2 linked regions of the Sus scrofa genome follow. The protein of the gene in region 1 purifies or fractionates together with the protein of each later gene. This does not show direct contact. Links are inferred from orthologs where the notes say so. Each region holds a gene or a part of one and is shown in the gene's direction. Other genes may lie near its edges. The genes, in order: UBXN2A and PPP1R11.

What was found.
Region 2: the proteins of UBXN2A (region 1) and PPP1R11 purify together in Homo sapiens (affinity purification with mass spectrometry; 3 studies listed by BioGRID and IntAct, counting the BioPlex papers as one, with this or other methods). This does not show direct contact. The link is inferred for Sus scrofa from reciprocal best matches to the Homo sapiens genes UBXN2A and PPP1R11.

The regions. Positions count from the first base shown.
Region 1 is NC_010445.4:114,711,286-114,715,600, reverse strand, and holds the start of UBXN2A (UBX domain-containing protein 2A), read left to right. Parts: upstream 1-1,415; 5' UTR 1,416-1,684; intron 1,685-4,315. UniProt on the Homo sapiens protein: Acts to repress the ubiquitination and subsequent endoplasmic reticulum-associated degradation of CHRNA3 by the STUB1-VCP-UBXN2A complex in cortical neurons.
Region 2 is NC_010449.5:22,632,816-22,636,725, forward strand, and holds PPP1R11 (protein phosphatase 1 regulatory subunit 11), read left to right. Parts: upstream 1-1,258; coding exon 1,259-1,327; intron 1,328-1,407; exon of another isoform or gene 1,408-1,935; coding exon of another isoform or gene 1,936-1,977; intron 1,978-2,439; coding exon 2,440-2,548; intron 2,549-2,916; coding exon 2,917-3,119; downstream 3,120-3,910. UniProt on the Homo sapiens protein: Atypical E3 ubiquitin-protein ligase which ubiquitinates TLR2 at 'Lys-754' leading to its degradation by the proteasome.

The DNA.
Region 1 (4,315 bases):
AATGCTCTCTTTATCAAATTGTGCCAGGACCAAAAAAAAAAAAAAAAAAAAGAGGAGGAGGAAGAGGCAACACTTAAAAGCCATCCATAGAAAAGTCTTTTGCCCTAAGGAATCAAACTCCTTATTGGGAGCTTCAATAGACAAGTTTCTAGAGAATTGGCTGAAAGTTGAACTCACCACAGGATTCCGGAATTGCACAACTGAAAGACAAGTTCCAAAGATTCACAGGGTGCCTTTACTTAGGTGGGAATGGCAGGGGTCCTTAGGTGAGGTCCAATATCAATTTGAATTCCAGCACTAAAAACTGTCAAGTAAGAACAAAAACTGATTTAGGCAAATTAAGAATATATTTGAAAGGATTATTCCAAGGAGGGTGGGGCGAGGGTGGGATGGGGGTGGGAAGAGACTATAAAAATACTGCTGGAGTACAATTACAATTGGGAGAATATCCAATTATACGCAAATAAATAAACTTTGGGTTTAGATAAAGACTTTATTGGATAGGATTATGCCGAAAAAAGGAAAAGGAAGTACTGCAATGGGGGGGGGTGAGGGACAAACCTTGTTAGAGGGGAGCTCTGTGACCATGACCCTGAGATCAGCAACTGTGGAAAAAACTGGGTGTGGTGCACAGTGGGACAGACAGGTGGAGATAGCAGTGATAACACAGACGATCAGTGTTTTGCATGGAACTCAGCCTATTTTAATGAGCGGTGGTGAAGGAGGGTTTGTATGCTGGATTAGGCTGAGGGTGGGTCAAAGTTTAGGAGCCTGGAGGAAGGAGAGAACCTTAACTTTGGTCAAATCCAGGGAGCCAGTGGGGGAAAAAATGTAATCGTAATGTATACATGTAAGGATAACCTGACCCCCTTGCTGTACAGTGGGAAAATAAAATAAAAAAAATTATTAAAAAAAAAAAATCCAGGGAGCCAGTATTTTGTCCAGACTGGTTAGTGAGTATAAGCAGTTCAGCTAATCCTTTGTGAAGCAAAAAGAATGGGGATTTGGAGGGTCTCTGTCAGGCCTCGTCCAAGGTAAACAAGGGGGTATCCGTGAGTCTTATCTAAATCACAACGGGGAAGGGAGGCTCCTCGCTGTCAAGCCTTTCAGGAACGTGGAAAGGTGGGGGGATTTCTTTAACCGTGGCTTTCCAGAATCACTGGACTCAGGGAAAGTTCAACATGGTCCGAATACAGAGAAATCTCTCCGCGGATTCAACCAGAAGCTGAAGAGGTAGACAGGTAAGTTGATGCTGAGTTCTCGGGTGAGCCCACGCCTAGCTCCCTGCATTTTCCGAGCAGGGTGAAGAGGCCACCACCAGCAGCGCCCGCAGCAAGGAGGCGGCCGCCATGAGGGCGGTAACGCTGAGGACCGACGCGGCCGCTGCCGCCGGCCCCGCCCCCCGCGCGCGCCCCCGCGGCCGGTGCGCGCGCCCGGGTCTGCGCAGCACCGGCCTCGGCGCGATCTCAGAGCTCAGCTGCCGGCTGCGGTGACCGTGGGAGGCAGGAGGGGGCCCAGCGGAGCGGCTGCCGAGCCTGAGAGGATCTGGGGGCGGCGGTGCTTCCTGTCTGAGTGGCTCCAGCCCAGCGGCAGGGGCGGCGGCGGCGCCCGCGGCCCCTGAGCGAATTGAGGAGGCCGCGAGGCGACGGCGCGGCGCGGCCCCCTCCAGCGGCCGCGCCCGGAGGTGAGTTTTCAGGGGCCGCGCCGCGTTCGGCCGGGTGAGGGGCGTAGGCGGGCGGGCGGGCGTTTCCCCAGCGGGGCGCCGGGGATCCTGGGGCCGCCCAAGCCGCGGGGCCCTTTCCTTGTCTCGGTTTCGGAGTCCGTGTCTGCGACCCCGAAAGGGCGGCCTGGGCGGGACTCCTGCCCAGCGCAGGTGAGGCGCGGCTCTGGGCCTGCGGTCTGCGCGTCTTCCCGAGCGGCCGACTGCGGGCAAGCGCAGCGCTTTGAAACTTCCAGTTCAGTTCTCAGAATGCAAACGCACAGTACAGAAATGCAAAGCGTGCCTGTTTGGGGCGAACATTCCTTAGGTAACCTCAATACGTGGCTCCCGCAACCTACGTTTTATGGTGTAGGCTTGCTCTTCGTTGTTTTCACATCTTTTTTTTTTTCCTATGTATCCATTTTTCTGGTTGTTTGAAGTTACTTGTTAGCAATAAGGGACGTTAGTGTGGCATCCAGCGTTGGTTACTCTGTACTTAATGTGAGATCATTGAAAATAAAACGTAGAAAATTGACAGTCTGTATTTATGTCGACGTGGAACTGTTACATATGACAGGTTGTGAACGACGTGAAAACCAGCTTCCTTGTTTCACAGTCGTGGCTTAAGTGTTCTGAGAGCTGTTCATAAGGTTTTTATTTATATTTTAGTTTAAATGTGAAAAACTCTTTAAAAAAAGTTGATCTTGTGACTTCTAAATATGTTGTAAGTCATTATTTTAAATTTAATTTTTTGGAGTAAAGTTAATTTACAATGTTGTATTAGTTTCAGGTGTACAGAACCAGTCATAGAAAAGTCCATTCTCTTTTCCTATATAGGTTATTTCAAACTATTGAGTAGATTTTCCTGTTCTACACAGTAGGTTCTCGTTAATGATGTGTTTTATACAGTACTATGTATCATGTAGATTTAGAAAGCAATTAAATCCGATGAATAAAGTTAGATCTAGGAATTGGTGAAATCCAAAAATGAGTAAGATTTGTGTGCAGGATGGAGAAAGTGATTAAGCACACAAATAATAATGATGCAAGACAGAATATGGTATTTGTTAATTATGTATTGAGCACTGACTCTTAACCTTGGCATGTGGTAAATACTATACATGTATACTTAATATTTAATGTTAATTACTTAGTTTTTCATTCATTTAGTACGTATTGTGTGTTGAGGTAAGAATATGTGGGTGATGATTATAGGTTTTGCCTTTAAGGACTCTACATTGTCATTGGAGGAAACAAGGTAAACAAATAATCCCACAAGTAAATGCCAGTCAACCTAGAGAGAAGGTAAAAAGGAAGAATGTAGGGTGTTATGAGAGTATGTAACCAGGGTACCTATCCCAGCTGAAGAAATCAGTTGTTTTTTCCTCGGAAAGGAATCTTTGAGCTTAGTTATTAAGGATAAGTAGGAATTGGGTGACTCCCAGAAAAGGTTCAGGCAAAGGAAATCAGTTCCACAGAGGCTTGGGAAGATTGGGGGAACTGAATGGCAAAGCAGTTGGATTGAGTGTAGAAAGCAAAAGGGGCCTGTAGTTAGGGCCAGAGAGATTATGTGCGTCCTTCATACAATGTTAAAGATTTGGGACCAGCTTTTTTTTTTTTTTTCCTCCCTTTTTTAAACTTTTATGGGGAAATTTTCAAACCACTCAAATGTAGTTAAGAGAACATTGCAGTGAACTCCCCTTTAATTTTATCCAGAGGATGTAGACCTTATTTGAAGAGTAATGGGAGGTCACTAAAGGGTTTTAAACAGGAAAGCCCCATAATCAAGTTTGTATCTTAATCAAAAAGGTCACCGTGACTCCTCTGCAAATTGGATGGGGACAAGAATGGATGTGGGGAAACGCCCTAGAGATGATAGTTGGGATTAGGATTGTGGCTATGAAGGTAGGGCAGATTTTTAAGAGTACGTACTTAATCTCTCCCTGCTGTGTTAGTAATTCTGTATTCATGCCTTTTGGAGGAATTGTGAAAGGTTTTCTAAAGCAGTATTTGAGATGGATTTTGCAAGGTAAATAGCATTTCATAATGGAACCCTGGAGTGAGCATGTCATGGTGTCAAAGGCTGGCTAGCTCAGCAATCTTGATTGTTTCTGCAGAAGTTTCCCCTTTCTCCTAAGATTTTTGCATTTAAAATACTTTTGTTACTCAGCCATAAAAAAAAATAAAATAAAATAATGCCATTTGCAGCAAGATGGATGTAACTAGAGACTCATACTAAGTCAGACAGAGAAAGACAAATACCGTATGATATCACTTATATCTGAAATCTAATATATGGCACAGATAAACCTTTCCACAGAAAAGAAGCTCATGGAGTTGGAGAACAGACATGTGGTTGCTGAAGGGGGAGGGGGAGGGAGTGGGATGGACTGTGAGTCTGGGGTTAATCAATGCAAACTATTGCATTTGGAGTGGATAAGCAATGAGATCCTGCTGAATAGCACAGGGAACTATATATCTAGTCACTTATGATGGAACATGATGGAGAGAAAGAATGTGAGAGAAAGAATGTATATTTTGTGGGGGGGTCACTTTGCTGTACAGTAGAAATTGACAGAACACTGTAAGCCATCTATAATGGAAAAAATAAAAATT
Region 2 (3,910 bases), on another chromosome or scaffold:
TGTTTCTACCCTACTTTAAACTTTTCCCTAGTCTATAACGCTGACTGGGTAAAGCCCCGGTTTCTTAGCAAAGCACACAGGGAGGGCCTCCCGTGTGGCCATGCCCACCCATCAGTTCTTGTCTGGCACGCCCCTCACGTCCCCACAGTACAAAAGTGAGTTTCCTTCCGTGCAAGCAACTACGACTTTGTAGGTTGTTTTCTTTACCTAAAAAACTCATTTGTCTTCTTGTTCTCTTTTTACCGCTCTTTTGCTCCCTGAGAAACATGCACATATTTTTTGTCTCATCATAAACTGGTCTGTATTACAATTTATGACCATTTCTGTGCTTAATCTTACTCATCTTCCCCCCCCCCAGGACAAATGTAGGCAGTAACTCAGTTTCATAGGTAAGTCTTACATTTATGTTAATAGTCCAGTGACTTACATTTTTGTTAGTATTTATGCCAGTCTTTCCCACTAGACCGGGAGCTAAAAGGCAGAATCTTGAGGGTTTTATGCTCCTCCATCTTCAAGTTCTGATAGTGACAGGAAAAAAAAATACAAGTTGAAGGGACATTAAGTGCCCTGCTCGAACACCTGCAGTCACAGGGCGAGGATTAAAACCCAGAGTCTTAATCAAGTGTGTTTCCAATTGCCCCTGGGTCCCCATTCTCTAGTTCCCAGACGAAACAATAAGGAAAGGAGGACAGGCATTGTCATTGCCCCTTGGTTTTCCTCGCCCTCCCACACACCCCAAGGGATATGGGGTTATGGGGGGTGATTGGGGGCTCAGCCACAGGATGTTTAAACCAGGTACAGCGTCCACTTTGTAGCTGCAAGTCATCGCTACCCTTGCCGTTCGCCGTGGTGCGGTGCAGGAACGGGTTCTTGCCGTTGATCGCCCCGCCCCTGCTCCCACACCTCAGGGACGCCTCTTCCGCCAAATTCGTGTCGCCTCCTTGCGGCGCCTGCGCACTGTCACATTACGGCGGAACTAATCCCGCGACCCTGCGCTCTGACGCCTTTAGTGCCAGGAAGGGAAAAGGGGGACCACAGAACGCGTCACACCCGGAAGCGGAGAGCCGGAAGTGGGGTTGGACAGGTTATCCCCAGGGGTGGGGCAGCGGAGGCCCAGGAGGAGGGGGAAAAAGAAGGTGGAGGAACCTGGCTACTAATCTGAATCCGATACGGATTCTCTTAGACCTCAGAGACACAGAAAAGAGAGAAGGGTGCCTCATCCCCCTTCCTCCCCTCCTTCCTCTCCTCAGCCTTAGCCATGGCGGAGGCAGGGGCCGGGCTGAGTGAGACCGTCACTGAGACAACGGTTACCGTGACAACCGAGCCCGTGAGAAAGGCGGGGGGCGGTGCTGTTTAGGGGTCGGGGAGCTACCGGGAGGGAAGGGATAGGGCTTTGGAGAGTTGCTGGAGGGGCTGGGCCTGGGGATGTGGGAGGAGTGGGGTTGTGAGAATCGCAAGGTATTGGGGATTTTTGGTGTGTCAGAGTTGGTGCAGAAGGCTGGTCGAGAAGCGTGTTATATATAGAGTTAGGATGTAGGTGATGCTGCTTGGGGGAGGGGGGCTTGTAGAAGTAAAGAAAGAACGGGAACTTGGAGATTACGGAGCAAGGGAGGTGCTGGGGGAAATGAAGGGCTGTGTAAGAAAGCATGGTTGGAGGCCAGCTGCAGGGGAACTTGACTGGAAGCATGCTTATGAATAAGTATTCGTTGAAGGGATGAATGCGAAAGGAAGCAAAAGAATGAGGGAACAAGAAAAGGGAGATGAAGATAGTATTTTGAGAAACCAGCGGAGATGTAAATAGAGAAAAATGTAGCATTTTTGCCAAAACAGGTTAAGTTGCTTTCATTGGGAAAAGATTGTATGGAACTTCATAACCCTTGAATTAAGGGAGTTTAGAGTAATAGTAATTGGAGCTGTCAGGATGGTGGAGAATAGATGGATAAGAGGTGGGGAGTGCTGGGCTTGAGGATGAGACAGGTGAGAACAGAGTTCTTTCTTTAATGGGAAAAAGAATAGGGGGTCTGGAAAAAGAAAGAGATCAAAGAGTAGGCATCGGTGACTGAGGAAATAATTTCCATGTGTTAATACCACCAAGGATGATTTGGGGAGGAAGATGGAGAAACAGCGAGGATTATATTTTCCTTTGAAGATTTGCTGGGACCTTCCCTAGGTTAGGAATTGTGTCTTCTCTGTATACTAGTGATTACCAAGAACAGGAGATAACATGTCACGATTCCTCTAGGGACACCCTGAGGTCCAAAACCTGTTCTATTTTATCTTCTCCCAGCCCTCAGCTCCTCTGGCCTTAGGTCCATGATCCTGACTGAGCTGGGAAAGGGAAGAGAGGAGCCCCCCCCCCCCAGCTCCCGCCCCGGGAGGTAGGGGGAAAGGTTAGTGGGAGGGGATTCGATAGGTAAGCCCATCCTTCTTACCTTCCAGGAGAACCGGAGCCTAACCATCAAACTTCGGAAACGGAAGCCAGAGAAAAAGGTAGAATGGACGAGTGACACTGTGGACAACGAACACATGGGGCGCCGCTCATCAAAATGTGAGTAATTGTTGGCCCACAGTAACCCTGGAGTCCTGGCTCCCCTGAGCATATCTTCTACCTTGTCACATCCACTGGCCTTCCTGAAGCCTGCAGGTGCTCACAATTCTGTCGTTGTCTGGGGGATTCTCTGGTGTCAGGGAGAGAAGGTTAGAGTTAGAGGGAAGGAGGTCAGGAGGGGCTTGAACTGGGATGTGCTAAGGCCTGAAGTCAGGACATATCTGAAATGGGAGAAATGGAGCTTTAGATTCCTGGCTGGAAAGGACGAGGGAGTTGGGTGCTTGAGTCCCAGGGTGTGAGCCAGGGCTGCTGGATCCTGGAAGGTAACTCTTCCTCCTTTTTAACTGGGCTCCTCCTTTCAAATCCAGGCTGCTGTATTTATGAGAAACCTCGGGCTTTTGGCGAGAGTTCCACGGAGAGTGATGAGGAGGAAGAGGAGGGCTGTGGTCATACACACTGTGTACGGGGCCACCGCAAAGGACGGCGTCGTGCAACCCCGGGACCAAGCCCCACCACCCCTCCGCAGCCTCCCGACCCCTCCCAGCCCCCTCCAGGGCCAATGCAGCACTAAATTCCTCTCTCCCCCACCATTCCTGTGTCTGTCTGGCCCTGAATGTATTCATGTGGCTCCTTGGGGACTAAACCCATGTTTGATCCCTTCTCCAGCCCCTTCCTCCCCTCTCCGGATAGAAGGAAACAGGAGAGGAGGGTGGACAGAGATCCCGGAATTCTGACTTGCTGCTATTCCAGAGCCCAGGCTTCTGGGTTCTCTGAGTCCTCATTTCTCTTCCCAGTACCCAGCTTCCTCTCTCCAGGGATCCAGGCATCTTGGTCCCAATCTCTTCCCTTTGTTCTCACTGCCAAACTGCCTGTCCTGGGATCCAGTTATCCTGGCCCCATGCACTCTCCACTTGAGTCCCAAACAGTTAAACTGGGTTTCCAACAGCCCCAGCTTTCACTGCCAGGGTCCTAGTCAGATTCCAGGCAACCTCGGCCCAGCTACGCTTGTTACCCCTGGCTTAGAGCTCTTCCACTGCTGTCTTTACATAATGCTAACTCTTAGTCCTGGCCTGTGGGATTGTGAGGTCTTATGAGAGACCTCAGGGCGCTCTTTCCTTCCTCTCCTGCCCACTCCCCTCATGCCCTTAAGAGAAGTTAGGAGGGAGAGAGGTCTTTGTCATGCTCACCTTTAATGGGTAATGGAGAAAAAAATTAAAAAAGTCATATCCTCTCTCCTCTTCCTTCTCACATGACCTAGGGTTTCTGACAAAGCTGGCTTCAAGATCAGTCACTTGCAGCCAACTGTTGGCCTTTGGTCTTCCAGGTTAGGAGACAGATCCATCAGGGTCCCAGGGAGAGGAA